Stegostoma tigrinum: one gene and its partner. The protein of the gene in region 1 interacts with the protein of each later gene in a pairwise test. Links are inferred from orthologs where the notes say so. Each region holds a gene or a part of one and is shown in the gene's direction. Other genes may lie near its edges. The genes, in order: sh3d19 and sh3yl1.

Region 1 (7,704 bases):
GACTAGCGACTGTCTCATGATGCCTCCTTTCAAATTTCTAGCCAAATCAATCTGAGACAAATATATCACTTTTGTTGAAAGTATATTTCTGTAACACATTCTCCCTCCATTCAGCCTTACTCCATATTGACAAAATGCTGATCTATGTCTTTGTCACCTCCAGCTGTAATTTCTCCAAAGTTTTCCTGGTGAACTTCCAAGTACTAACCTTCATAAATTGCAACAAATATCTTGTCCAAGTGTGATTTTCTCTCAGTCCCCTTCTTGCCAATAATTACTGGCACCCTTTCAATTAACACATTAAAATTAACGTCTCAGACTGATGATATTTCCGAGGTTTCTGATTAAAGGACATTGACCTGAAACACACTGTTTCCCTCTCCATTGGTGCTGTTGGACCACAGAATATTTCCAGCATTTTCTGTTTAAATTTTAGATAATCAACATTTGCACTATTTTACTCCGGAACGCATCATGTTTTAGTACTAACAATCTACCCTGGATCTTGCTATTCCTGTCACTGCATTCGCATTCAATACAATGTGTCATTTGGTATGACCCCTTTGCACCCCTAACTCCTCATCATGCCTCTTCACTATATTTACCCCACATTCCAAAGTATGCCTCCCAAGTCCTCTCTTTTAAAACTTATTCCTCGAATCATTCATCACCGCATCTTTCTCTGGTGATGCTTATTTTCTGTTCTTTGCAACTTGTTGGATACATTAATGTATTGTAACTCCAAGAAGTTGTTATGAATTTAGCAGAACTTTGGTTACAAGTGCACAGTGTTCATTGAAAAAGCAACTTTTTTGTTTGTCCATGAATACACAGAAATGCAGCAACACTACTATCACTGGAAAAAAATGTTGACGTAATTTTTCTCCTGAGAACAAAAGATTGTCCCAGATTTTGTGGTCAGTAGCAAAGGAACGGCACTTACCGTTCACTGTGCTGACTGCTGTCCACAATGATTTTGCAGGCTTTAAAGTCATTAAGCATTTGATCCAATGTGACATCTTCTACCATGGAAGTGTGACATGTGTGAGCAGGGCACGGGATGTTAAAGTGTTGTCAATTTATTAGAATGAAGAGTTATCACTAAACTATGCAGACATTAAACCAGAAAATTAAATGTGGGAAGAAATGATGAAATCAATAGAGGGAAGTTTAATGACTGAACATAACAGTAAACAAAAATGAAATAAAAGATGCTGGTGATCTGAAATAGAATCAAGAAAGTGCAGGAGAAATTCAGTGGGTAGCATCTGTGGAGAGAGAAACAAAGTTAACATTTTGAATCTGGTATGACTGTACTTCATAATAAATTTCCAACATTTATTAAATTCTTAGAGAATGAAATTTCACACAAATAAAGTTTTCAGGGTAGGGAAGGCTGTTCAGAAGAAATAATGACTGATCACTGATGTCCCTGTCACCTTCCAATTCTGGCCTGTTACACAACCCAATTATCACTGCTCCACTTTTGGCAGTTACACTTTCAGCTTCGTTGGATCTCAATTCTAAAGTTTTTCCTAAACTTCCTCACTCGTTTCCTTTAACAAGTTCCTTGAAAGTTATGATCATCTGCCTTGATAATTCTGCTGATTGGAGTCATAACTAGAACAAAGGAAAATGGTTATTATTTTTGGAGGTCAGTCATCTCAGCTCCAGGACATTTCTGCAGGAGATCCCCAAGATCGTGTCCTAACTCTAACCATTTTCAGCTGCTTCATCAATGACTTTCCCTCCATCATTAAGTCAGAAGTAGGAAGCTCACTAATGAATGCACAATGTTCAGCATTATTTGCGATGCAATAGATTCAATAGACTTGGTCAACATCCAGACTTGCGATGACAATTGACAAGTAACATTTGTGCAAAACAATGTTAGGCATCACTAAATTCCCCACTATCAACATAAAGGGAAGTGCAGATGCTGGAGAATCCGAGATAACAAAGTGTGGAGCTGGATGAACACAGCAGGCCAAGCAGCATCTTAGGAACACAAAAGCTGACGTTTCAGGCCTTTTCTGATGAAGAGTCTGGGCCCGAAACGTCAGCTTTTGTGCTCCTAAGATGCTGCTTGGCCTGCTATGTTCATCCAGCTCCACACTTCGTTATCAACATCCTGGGGGTGTCTATTGACAAGCAACTAAACTGGGCTTGCCCTATAAATCTGTGGCTACAAAAGCAGGTCAGAAGCTAGGAATACTGTAATGGCTAACTTGTTTCCTGACTCCCCAGAGCCTGTACACTATTCACAAGGCACAAAGGGCAGCACGGTGGCTCAGTGGTTAGCACTGCTGCCTCACCATGCCAGGGACCTGGGTTTGATTCCTCCCTTGGGCAACTGTCTGTGTGGAGTTTGCACATTCTCCCCGTGTCTGCATGGGTTTCCTCCAGATGATCCGGTTTCCCTCGCAGTCCAAAGATGTGTAGGTTTGGTAGAATGGCCATGCTAAATTGCTTGTAGTGTGTTCAGGGCTGCGTAGATTAGATGGGTTATAGGGGAATGGGTCTGGGTGGGATGCTGTGTGAGTCAGTGTGGACTTATTGGGCTGAAGGGGTTGTTTTGACATTGTAGGGATTCTGTGAAATCAAGAGTGTGGTGGACAACTCCCCCACTTATAGTGCAACTTGTACAACACACAGGTTTGATATCATCAAGGTTAAACCACCTCAATTGATTCATTGGCACAACATCCACAAGCGTTGACTCCATCCACCATCCAATCATAGTAGCAGCAGTGTGTACCATGCACAAGATGCACTGCAGAAATTCACCAAAGATCCTTTGTCAGCACCTTTCAAACCCTTGGCAATTACTATCTGGAAGGGCAAGAGATACATTAGAGTGCCACCACCTGCAAGTTTCTCTCCAAACTTCTACTCATCCTGACTTGAAAATATTTAAGCATTCCTTCAGTGTTGCTGGGTTATAATACTGGAACTTCATCTCTAACAGCAAAGTGTGTGTACCCACACTGAAAAGACTGCAGGAGTTCAAAAAGGCACCTCATCACCACGTCCTCAAAGCAGTCAAGGACAGGCAATTAATATTGGCCAAGGCAGTGAATCCTACATTTTAATTTTTTTTCTATGGCTCAGTACAAAATTTGTTTTGTGAAGTAACTTTAGACATTTTATTACATTAAATATCATATCTAAATACAAGCTGTTGTTGCTGATGTTGAACACACACCAAGCATCAGTGGTTGAAACAAAGACCGTGCCAACATTTAAAGTTAGGTAGATGTTTGAACGTAAGAGGCATAATGAGATATGGGTACAAAACTGACACATGATTGGGAGTTTTTTTTTATATTATTCGTTTATGGTATGTGTTCTGGATCTTGCCACATATGGACATTCCTGGTTCAGGAGGCAGTGTGAACAGTGCTGATCATTCAGTTAACATCTTCACTTTTGATTTTATGGTGGAGGGAATGCCATTGCTGATGCAACTGAACATAATTGGGCCTCAGACATGACCATGAGGAGCTCCTGAAGTGGTGTCCTGAGGCTGAGATAGTTGACTACCAACAATAACCATAACCTTTCTGTACTAGGTATGACACCAAACAGTGTGGAGCTTTCCCCTGAATTCCAATTCACTCCAGTTTGTCAGGACCCTTTGCCGCCACACTCCGACAAATACTGACTTGATGACAAGGATAGTCTGTCTCTCACCTCACCTCTGGAATTTCGCACTTTTGTCCATGCTGGAACCACAGTTATAATGACATTCAGATCTGAACATTGGTGAATAGTTTGTTCCTTTGTAAATCCAACTTGCTGTCACTGTGATGACACCCTTTCCATCATGTTACTGATGAGGCAGTATTTGACCAAATTGGATTTGCCCTACTGTTTGTGTACAGGACATAATTGTGCATTTCTGGGTAGATGCCAGTGTTGTAATTGTACTGCAGCAACTGGGCTAGTGGTGCGGCGAGTTTGGGTGCACAAGTCTCCAGTACTATTGCAGCCAATGTTGTCAGGGTCCATAGTCTTTGCACCGTACTGTATTGGGTGTCTTCAATCTTTTTTCAATAAAGTGAATTCAGTTGGTTGAAGACCGAAACCTGCCAGGCTGTGAACCTCAGGATGAGGATGAGGCACAGCTCACTCACTGGGGCACAGATGGCTGAAAATGGATGTACACACTTCAGCACTGTCTTTTTCTGGAGACAGTTTATCTACTGCTTGCAAAACAGTTTATTCCTGCAAAGGTGTCACACAGCACAGCCCGCTGAGTCATTGTATCCACCAACAATTTACTTAATTCACAGGGAAACACTATTTTTTTTAAAAAAGGTGTGTTCAGGTCAGAATCAAAAGTAAATCTCTGCCAGCGATTTGGAAAAGTTACACAGTTGATTGTCACGTTTGGGGCTGGATGAAAATCAGCTCCAAGCGCTACCGCCACCTTTTGTTTTCGCTTAGCCACCGAGTTTCCTGTCGGCAGAGGAATATTTCGGAAGTTGCTGAAAAGGTAGCTACTTCCTTCGGTGTGGTGTTGAGGTGGTGGTTGTAGCTGCTGACTAGACTGGAAGCTGCGCGCTCTCTGTCTCTCAGTAATTGTGTTGTGTTGGCAGCGCTACCTCTGCTCTGCACACTAATATATTCCGTATGATGATGGCGGAAGCCTGGTTTGAGGAGGAAGAGGAGGAGGTGCGAGGGGCGATCGACAGGGACCCCAGCTCCAGACACAACTCCGCGGCTGCTGCTGGGCGGCTGGGCAGCTCGTCGGCAGGTAAAACAGGGAAGCCTCTCTATCGGTGCATGTCTCTCACTCTCTTCAAATTACCGCGAAATAAGAGTTTTACCAGATGTTATCTGTCAACTATTGAGTTTTTTTGTTGTTGGCTGGTTTTTAAAAGCTCCTGTCACTTTTCGTCATGCTTGATAATTCCATTTAAGCTTTTGGTAAATTTAAGGCTATGTTAATTATCGATGTTTTAAACGGTGGGAAAACGGGATTGTGTGTCATGTTCCAAATACATCAAAATCTCCCGATGTATTTTTTTCAGAACTAAACTAATTCCACGCCGACAGCTGTAGCCCTATTGACAAGTGGCGGGCACTTTGTGTCTTTCGCAGTGAAAGGGGAGTGTTAGGGAGGGATTACAACGCAGTACAACGAATTGAGTCATTGGGTTAAAAAAAAAACTGTAAAAAGATCATGGTGACTCATCAACAGTTTGTAACTCCCCTTTGATCCCGAGGTTCGGACTTCTCCTTTTGGGTTTATATCCATTGTTTTGTGTTAGTCGGCTGTTAACTGTGCGCAATCAGTTTTTTTTCGGACGGGCTGTGGTGATTGAGTAGGATTTATCAATTTTGAGGGATTCATTGTAGATCATTTCTGTTCAATACATGTCTACGTTCGGACTTGAACCCTGATCTTCTGGCTCATAGGGACAGTACCACTGTCCACGAGAGGTTCAATGTGGACTTACACAATCGGGGGTGATAGGCCAGTGCGCCGTATCTCCCGCCTCCCCACCCCAGTGGCCCTATATTTTCATAATACACTGACTTGCGTGAGCAATGTGTCTGCCAGTCCTTTGTCTACATTTCTATTCTTTGTGTTAGCCAGGATAGTGATTGAAAGCAGATAGGAAGACAAAACATAATTGTGCTCAATCTTGTCTGTGTACGTACAGTTCTGTGCAATTAAGCGACTGTATGGTTTTTTTAATCCAAAATTCATGGATAACTATCAGCCAACTCACCACTGTTGAACTGGGATTTTAACAGATGTGCATACATTCCAAATCACTTATATAACTGAATTGTACACTTTTTTCAGACACGTGCATTTACCTCAGTTCAAAAAAATCCAAAGTATTGGAAACAAAACAGCTCTTGAATTGTAGTCAGTTTGGCTGAGCCTTAGGAACTTCACCACCATAAAACTTTCCTGCATTTGAAAGTTCAGGACTGTGCAACAGTAGGAGCTTAACATACTTGTTAGTGAATCAGGAAAACCAGACTACTACACTCATTACATAAAGATGGTTTGCACCTTTCTGACTGTTAACTTTCTAAGAAAGATTATTCAAGGTCCACCCCAACTCTCCTAAGTGTCCCTGGAACATGATTATTTTGTCACCTGTGTTCCTCCTGCCCATCAACCAACTGGCCACTCTTCATGTGTACGGGTTGCATCTGCCAAAAGGACAAGATACAGACTTCAGTTGTCTCCTTAATGTACCTCCACAGAGTCGTAATTACCATTTGGGCCATTTTATAGAAATAGGAGCAGTAGTACAGGCAGATCTCCCATCGTTTTCTCCTCCCCTAATGCAGCAACATTGACCAATTGCAGTGCTCTACCTGTTGCTCTGAGAGTTACTGACATGAGGTCATATACTTCAACACCGGTAGGAACTAGTACAAAACCTCTCGAATTGCATTGCTCAGTACTTATACATTAATTTCAGATCATTAAGAGAGCTCTCCAAAGGAATTTATTTGTTATCCTTTACTATTCAACATAATCATGACTGATTATCTACTTCACTTCCACTTTCCAGTCCTTTGCCTGTCCCTTCATAGCCTTGGTATCAAAATAAATCAGACTGTATCCCAAATGTAATCAATGACTGAGCATCCAAACACCCTCTTGGGACAGATAATCCTAAAGAATCACAGTCTTTTGCAAGAAGAAGTGTAAAGAAGTTCAAAATGACTGATCTCTTAGACGGAAATCTTGACTCTTTTGTTCCCCTGACTGGGAGTAGAACTTTTTCCAAGCATCTATCCGATCAAATCCCTTAAGAATTTTATATGTTTAATTGAGATCACTGGTCATGCTTCCAAACCCCAGGGAATATAGACTTGGACTGTTCAGCTTTTCCTCATAGGACAATCTTCTCATCCTAGAAACCAGAAATTGAACTTTCATTGCATTCCCTCAGACAAATATATCCATCCTTCAATAAGAAGACTGAAACTGTGTGCTGTGATCTAGATGTGGTCTCATCAAGACTCTATGTAATTCAGTGTGACTTTTTCACAATTTTATTTTGTTATTGAATTAATAAGTGTAGTTAATGAATAATTATGAACCTTTCTGTCATCTAGCTTTTCTCATTTTATTATCCAGCTGAAATTTCTTTCATTCAACTAGATGACACATACAGATTTCCTCTGTTGTCTCTCATTTATGTTTCCCTAACAAGACCTATCAAAATGATGAAAAATAAATTGAAAGATGTTACATTTGCACTGATCCTTCTTAATGACCTGTATTATAAGAATAAGCTGCAAAGTTAACTTATGTTGAGATAAAGTTTCATAGGCACCATCCCTAAGCAAATATCAATAGGCTGATTAGTCAGAAGGAGCGTCCAAACTCTAATCTCATCTAGGTCATTAGATTCACTTTTCTTTGGAATTGGTGGAAGTAAGAGCAAAAAAGAGACCAGTTGTAGAACTGAAATTGGCAGAGATTTGTAATTAAACATAGAATTTCTGGTCTGAAGTAGGAAAAGAATCTCCTGGAAATATTCAGCAAGCCTTGTAGCATCTGTGGAGAGAGAAGCAGTTAACCTTTCAATTAATGAAGTTTTATCAAATGGTTCAACAATTCTGATTTTAATTTCAGTTTTCCAGCATCTATATCATTTATGCTGTTTTGCTTTTGATCATTTTGGTAGATAGTTCTATACATAGCACATTTATGAATTGATT
Region 2 (7,932 bases), on another chromosome or scaffold:
AAATGTCTATTTGTCCAGTAGGTTGTCATCTAATCAATCTGACGATTTTGCGACAGCAGAGAACTAAGAGATGGTGGTGAAACAGAGTGAGTGTCATCAGTCTAAATGTCAAACCCAACACTGTGCTTTTGGAGGATTTCACAGTAAGGCACCAAGGAGATGAGAAACAAGAGGTGGCCAAGGCCGGATCCTTGGGGAGCAACAGAAGAATAGTATGGAAACAGCAAGAGAAGACATTGCTGGTGCTTCTCCTGGTGCTGGCTATAGGAGAAGTAGAGCAAAGGATATTAAAATTTTTACATAAGCTGTTAAAAGCAGCAACAGGTTTGATATGCTCATAAGGGGTGCGACATTCCATCATTTCTAGAGGTATTGAAAACAAATCTGAGAGGTAACCGGTGTACTGCAGGGGTCGATGTTGAGTCCATTGCTGTTCAGGTCATTTTTATAAATGACCTGGATGAGGGCGTAGAAGGATGGGTTAGTAAATTTGCAGGCAACACCAAGGTCGGTGGAGTTGTGGATAGTGAGAAGGATGTTGTAGGTTACAGAGAGACATAGATAAGCTGCAGAGCTGGGCTGAGAGGTGGCAAATGGAGATTAATGCGGACAAGTGAGAGGTGATGCACTTTGGTAGGAGTAACCGGAATGCAAAGTACTGGGTTAATGGTAAGATTCTTGGTAGTGCAGATGAGCAGCGAGATCTCGGTGTCCATGTACACAGATCCTTGAAAGGTGCCACCCAGGTTGATAGGGCTGTTAAGAAGGCATACAGTGTTTTAGCTTTTATTAATAGAGGGATCGAGTTCCGGAACCATGAGGCTATGCTGCAGCTGTACAAAACTCTGGTGCGGCCGCACTTGGAGTATTGCGTACAGTTCTGGTCACTGCATTATAAGAAGGATGTGGAAGCTTTGGAAGGGGTGCAGAGGAGATTTACAAGGATGTTGCCTGGTATGGAGGGAAGGTCTGACAAGGAAAGGCTGAGGGACTTGAGGCTGTTTTCGTTAGAGAGAGGAAGGTTGAGAGGTGACTTAATTGAGACATATAAAATAATCAGAGGGTTAGATAGGGTGGATAGGGAGAGCCTTTTTCCTAGGACGGTGATGGCCAGCATGAAGGGGCATAGCTTTAAATCGAGTGGTGAAAGATATAGGACAGATGTCAGAGGTAGTTTCTTTACTCAGAGTAGTAAGGGAATGGAACGCTTTGCCTGCAACGGTAGTAGATTCGCCAACTTCAAGTACATTTAAGTCGTCATTGGACAAGCATATGGACGTACATGGAATAGTGTAGGTTAGATGGGCTTCAGCTTGGTATAACAGGTCGGCACAACATCGAGGCCCAAAGGGCCTGTACTGTGCTGTAATGTTTTATGTTCTATGTAATGCAAAGTTCTGATCTATATAATTAAAAAGAGGAGCAATTGCAGAAAATACTTACAAGGATATCGCCAGAACTGTAAGTTACAAATTGGATTGAAAGGTTAGGTCTCTTTTTGCTGGGACAAAGACTAAGAGATGCATGAAAAGACATCATACTCATTAAAGTTTTCAATGGAGTAAATGTGAAGAATCTCTTTCAAAATGTAGATTAGTCCAGAAAAAGTGTTTTTATTAATGTTTAGTGACCATTTATTAAGTGAAGAATTTCTTTCCATAGAGAATGTTGAGGACTTGGAACTCTGTGCCACACGGGATGGTTGATATCATTGACACATTTAAGAGAATGGTCAATGTGGACATGAGAAAAGAATCAAATTGATGGACAGTGGGAATGGTAGGAATGAAGAATGAAAGCAATTTTGTGTACATTAAGTAGTGACATTAACCATTTGAACTAAATTGTTGGTATGCGCTATAGATTCAATGTAAGAAAGTCCTCTTGGGTAAATACATAATGAGCCAGAAGGACTAGGTAAGTCCCACCTGCACCACAGGTGTGACATAACACTTCTGGACAGACTGCTTAAAAATATAACATGTAAAGTATGTACTTGCTGCATTTAGGTTAAATTTTCCACTGCATTGTGACCAGTGATAGTACAAACAATTAAGTGCAAACTTGAAATCTTATACAATTTTTCAGTACAGAATCAAATCAGAAATCCTGAGTGTGTCCATTGCTAATAATTACACTAGTGCAGATTCAGCACAAGGACAACAAGGAAATTGATATCAAGCATATTCAAAACATAGATACAAATTGTGAAGCTGGATGAACACAGCAGCCCAAGCAGCATCTCAGGAGCATGAAAGCTGATGTTTCAGGCCTAGACCCTTCATCAGAGAGGACGATGAAGGGTCTAGGCCCGAAACGTCAGCTTTTGTGCTCCAAGATGCTGCTTGGCCTGCTGTGTTCATCCAGCTTTACACTTTGTTATCTTGGATTCTCCAGCATCTGCAGTTCCCATTATCTCTCTCCCCCATATTCAAAACATAGCTGGTTTATGCTTTGATTTATACACTTACGAATTATTTATTTAGAATTTTAATAACTAAGATTTTTTGAAAAAGCGAGTAGGGCTTACTTTGTTTGTAATGCCTCGATCCGTTACCAGTTTCCTGAAGATAGCTTCTGCAATTGGAGATCGGCAAATGTTGCCTTAAAAAAATTCAAAAACATGATCGCGTGAGTTTTTTCTAAAGTTTTATAGCAGGTTTATCATAGTTAAAGTATATAAAATTCCTGTACTTGATAGAAGCTAAACAGAAGTATGATTTATATGCAAATTTGATTTCCATACACCTCCAGTTTGTATACACAATTAAAATATTTACAGAAAAAGTTTCTCAACAGAAGTGAACTTAGGAAGTATTAGTTCTTGCAGAAAAAATTATTTAATCAGCCCTGTAATTTCAATCACACCAAAATCTCCTATTTAAGAGACAATATCATTTGTTTTTTTTGAACAAGTCTACCTCAGATAACACCAATAGTGGTTTACACTTCAATCTATATTCATATGTTACTGACTCGACATATGTCTAGGGACCTTGTGCTATATATAGATCATTAAGTGACAGGTCATAAGAATGACATGCAACTTGGTTCCACAGACCTGCTCCTGACAGTCTATCAGACCACTATTGATTGTACCTTTGATTTCTCTCCTTTGATAGTCTTATCTAATATTCTGATTAGCCTTGTCTGGATCTAAAGGGTTCCTCAATTCAGTCATCTTAGGGGGATATGAAAAATGAATGCACAATTTAACATAAATTGCTTCATCAGTGGTCTATAATGCAGGAGGAATGACGACCAGAGAAAACAGAAAGGCCAAAGACGATGTGAAGAGATTCTTTTTAACATACTAAGATGTGGAATAGATTGCCTCAAAAGGCTGTGTTATTCAAAACTGAAAAGCCAAGTTTAAATAAAATGAAATAAATATATTCTTCAAAATAAATTTGCAGGGTCTAGGACAGTACATTGTATTTTTATATCATCTCTGACATATTAAATCATCTGTGGCACTTTACAGGTATGTCATCAAATAAAGCCTTATGCAGATTGGTGTCAAACCTTATCACGAGCAAGTGACTAAAACTTTGGTCAAAGTAGTAGATTTTTATAAGCAATTTACTTGGAGAAATCAGAGGCAGTATAGGGAGGGAATGCCAAGGCATTGAACCTTAACAGTGGAAGGTGAATCATTAAGGGAGCAAAAACATCCAGGCATATTCAGGTTTCTGGAATTAGAAAAGTACAACTACCCTAAAGGATTGAGATGCTGGAGGTAACAAATGTAAGGAGTGACCCATGAATTTAAAAACAAGATGAATTTGAAAACCGACATGTTGCTAAACAGGGAGCCAACAACTGGCAGCCAAGCTCAGGGGGCCAATTGGATTACCGTGCATCAGGACACACACGTCTGAACTTTGGAGGATCTCAGTTTAGATCGGGTAGATTGTGGGAGACCAGCCAGAAGTGTACTGGAATAATCATGTCTAGAAATGACCAATAGTATGAATGAGAGTTTCAGTAGCACAGTCAAGGTCAAAACTCGGCAATTTTATGACCATGGGGCAGGTTGTACATACTGAAGAACTGGAGAGGTGGCCTAACTGGATATCTGTAGAGCAAAGGTACGGTGGCGTTCTTTGAATTGACTAACCCAGCACCCCAGGCAAATGCTCCGTGGAGGGGAGAATTTGAGTTCCACCAGATAAACTTAATAGCTAGTCTAACGGTGGCCATTGTTGGTTGGCCCTCTGGTTTAAGCAATAACCTTCAGGGAAGGAAATCTGCCACCAGCACCTGCTCTGGCCTAACCGCATGACTCCAGACCTGCAGCACTGCGAATGACTTTTAAATGGCCCTTGGCCTAGCCAGGGACGTCGACATCCCATGAAGAAATGGACCGAACGATTACCCTCGCACACGGCCCCTCCAACAATCCTCCGCTGCTGGGTGGCGGCTGGAGCTGAGAGACGTTTAGGTGCGCGCACGGACCGGCAGCCGTTACCCCCGCCCCCGTTTGTTCGTTCATTCATTCATTCATTCTCACTCACTCACCCAAACAGACAAACAGAACCGACTTCTGCCCGGCCGCCATCTTCACCGGGTCCTGCCAAGAGACCGCGTCACTCGCCTCCGTCTACTCTTCTGCCTGCTCCGCGCAATCTCCTGGGACCCGCTCGCTGGAAATCAACGCGCGCAGCGGCTTGCCCCGATTCCTCCGTACCGTCATTTTTTTTTTCTTAAAAAAACCGTACTAGCATCAGCCGTTTTAAGATCTAGGCGGGTTGGTGGAAAGCGTCCTAAATCCTCGGCGCGTCCTCGGACAGCTCCTAAGCAGGGGTCCTTGAGGACCTGTGGGTGGTGCCCAGGTGTAGTTAGCACAGGTAAACCCAGCAAGTGAGTTTGGGCTGGTACTCCAATAGTCTGCATTTAAACGTTTTAGAAGAGCATTATTTGTAAAAGTAAGTTTTCCTTTTGCCTTTTATTGTGTAGATTGGTACACGTTTTGGGAAAAATCCTTTGGGAGGTATTTCCTGAAGTGTAATATTTGTGGTGAAACACGTATTTTTGAGTTATGGACACAGTTTAGACGGACATTCAGCACATTCGTTCCACTGAATCGTAGAAGCATTAAAGGATGTAGTTCACCTCATTGTGTCCTATTCTCGTGCTCTCTCCTATTGCCCTTCTTCCGCATGATTACACTTTTTCTACTATTTAACTTTCAAAACATTTTTAGATATCAAATTTGCTTACTCCGCCCTTTGGGCATTGCATTCCAAATCCTAAATCACTTATTCCAGCATTTTATCCTGTCATCTCGCTCTTGGTCCCTTTGCTGGTTAACTTAAGTCTCTGTCCTTTGATTCCTGACCCTTCATGGTAGAAACTTTTTCAGTTGATTACTCTATCAGTAACCTTAATGATTAAAAATACTCGATTAAACGTTCCCAACATTGAGGAGAAGTACTCAATGTCTCTAATCTCTCTCTATGAAAACTTTTATACCTGATTTTATCTCTGTAAATTTCCTCTAACTTATCCAAGCCTTGAATTCTTTTCTGAAATGTTGTTGCCAGAATTAGCACTGTAGTTTGGCTGAATCCTAACCTGTGATTTCTGAATGTTGAACATAATTCCTTTGCATTCATACTTTATTCAATATGTTCCATTTTATAAAGTGTTTTGAAAACAATATTTATGACTTGCATATATACAGCCAGGCTTAGACACTCAATTCTCTTTAAAATTGAACTGTTTAGATTGTTTTGCATCCCTCATACTGAAATTAACATTATTTATTAATTTCTGCATGTTAATCACAACAAAACCAATGCATTTCTGATCCATGTCAGCCAGAAGATGATTGAAAATAAAATCAACAACAAATGATTGTAATCATATGTTTCTTGTTCATTTTGATGCATAAATAGAAGCAGAAACAAAAAAAAGGTAAAGCAGATTTGTTAAAAGTTGATGTAAACATTGTCATGTAAGTAATTAGGTCATTAAAAACAATAAAGTAAATGCTATTATAAATGTGTTTTCCAGTAGTGATACTGTGAATTGTAAGCACTTGAAAATAGCAAAATTCAAAGCAATAAATGTGAGAATATAATATAACTTATCGGCAAGGAAAAAATGGATAAAGTGACATTGGGAAATTGTTGAACGGAGGAATATTTGTTGTTGAGGGAATTTCTGATTTTGGGGCCACTGTGTTAATTATGGACACACTTTGGGTATGGTGAAATAATTAATTTTGAACTTGAAAATATGCTAGCCCTGCTGTTAGAATTGAAGGAAGGGTGCTTGTAAAATCCAGGAGATGACCTTCCCGCCACCTATTCATTCGTCTCCACCCTCTGTGAAATGTTATGGGAGGAATGGGAGAGGCATACTTAACAAACCCCCAGCCTTGACATCCCAATTACACCATAAGGCACAGCAGCAGAAGTAGGCCATTCAGCCCATCGAGTCTGTTACACCGTTCAATGAGATCATGGCTGATAATTCTCAACTCCATTTTTCTGTCTTTTCCATACAAATGTTGATTTCCTTAATGATTAAAAGTCTGTTTCAACTTTGAATTTACAACAGGTGAACTATCCTTCTTGGGGCTTATTGATGCCCTTGCATGGCCAATTAATGGTATTTGTGTATTTTACACCTGGTGACCATGGGCATATGGTCCTACTTTGTGGATCCTCTGTGCCCATCTGATGCCCACCCTGAAAGTTTAACTATTCTAGTGGGGACTTGGATATGGAATCTTGTAGTGGTAGATGGTGGTATTTGAATTCAATTCAAGAGAAAATCTGGAATTAATGATCCCATGATAAGAATAGAACCAATGTCAATTCTTGTCTGGTTCACAAGTTCTCGGGGGAACATAATTGCTGTCCTTAGAGACAAAACACTGCAGATGCTGGAATCCAATGTAGACCTATGGGAGGCTGGAAGAACACAGCAAGCCAGGCAGCATCTGGAGGGAAGGAACAATCAATGTTTTGGGTATTACTCTTCTTCAGAACTGAATGTAGGGGTACGGCAAGCTGCAGATAAAGAAGGGGGAAGAGGTGGAAGTGGGATGGTGGCAGTAGTTGGACACTGTAGTGGGTATGACCTGGTTGGTCGATAGGAGGGATGAATTTGGTTGGTGGCTGGAAGGGAGGATCAGAAGGTGGGGTGGAATGGAAGGGAGGAGGTGGGGCTGAAAACAGAGAGGGGGGGAAAAGAATGGGAAGGTTATTTGAAATTGGAGAACTCACTGTTGAGTCTTCCAGGCTGTAGGGTGCTCAGGCAGAAGACAAGGTGGTCTTCTTCAAATTTGTGTTCTAAGTTACTGCGACACTGGAGGAAGCCGAGGATGGACATGTCAGAAGGGGAGTGTGGCGGGGAGTTGAAATGGGAAGTTAGGTTGGCCATTACACTCCAGGTGGAAGCTTGGCAAAATGGTCACCTCGTCTATGTTTGGTCTCACTGAAGTGGAGAAGCCCACGTCGGGAGCACCAGATGCAATAACTAGGTTGGAGAAGACGCAGGTAAAGCTCCGACTCATTTGGAAGGACTGTTTAGGGCCCTGAATGGAGGTGAGGGAGGTGGTGTGTGGACAGGTGCTGCATCTTTTACTGTTACAGGGGAAGATATCAGGTGAGTTGAAGTGGTTGGTGAGGAGTATGGTCTGAGGTGAGGAGTGATGAAGGAAATGGTCCATGTGCAGGGCGGAGAGTAGTGGGGAGTGGAAGATGTTCTGGGTGGTAAGGTCTAATTGGAGTTAGCAGAAGTGTTTAAGGATGAGACGTTGGACGTTGTTGCTGGTGGGGTGGACAGAGAGCTCGGACTAGGTACTTGTACTAAACAACAAACGCTATTTTTTACAAATAATTAGATTCTAGCTACAGGTAAACAATACTGAAACATTGTCATATATTTTTACTAATTAAAAGTGGATTTGCAGTTTAG

What was found.
Region 2: the proteins of sh3d19 (region 1) and sh3yl1 interact in binary tests that used the Homo sapiens proteins (3 or more experiments, as listed by UniProt). The link is inferred for Stegostoma tigrinum from reciprocal best matches to the Homo sapiens genes SH3D19 and SH3YL1.

What each region holds. Positions count from the first base shown.
Region 1 is NC_081354.1:51,437,577-51,445,280, reverse strand, and holds the start of sh3d19 (SH3 domain-containing protein 19), read left to right. Parts: upstream 1-4,505; 5' UTR 4,506-4,635; coding exon 4,636-4,759; intron 4,760-7,704. UniProt on the Homo sapiens protein: May play a role in regulating A disintegrin and metalloproteases (ADAMs) in the signaling of EGFR-ligand shedding. May be involved in suppression of Ras-induced cellular transformation and Ras-mediated activation of ELK1.
Region 2 is NC_081357.1:108,024,223-108,032,154, reverse strand, and holds the start of sh3yl1 (SH3 domain-containing YSC84-like protein 1), read left to right. Parts: upstream 1-4,811; 5' UTR 4,812-4,927; coding exon 4,928-4,928; intron 4,929-7,932. Other genes in the region: acp1 (low molecular weight phosphotyrosine protein phosphatase), read right to left, coding at 2,531-2,604, 4,379-4,499.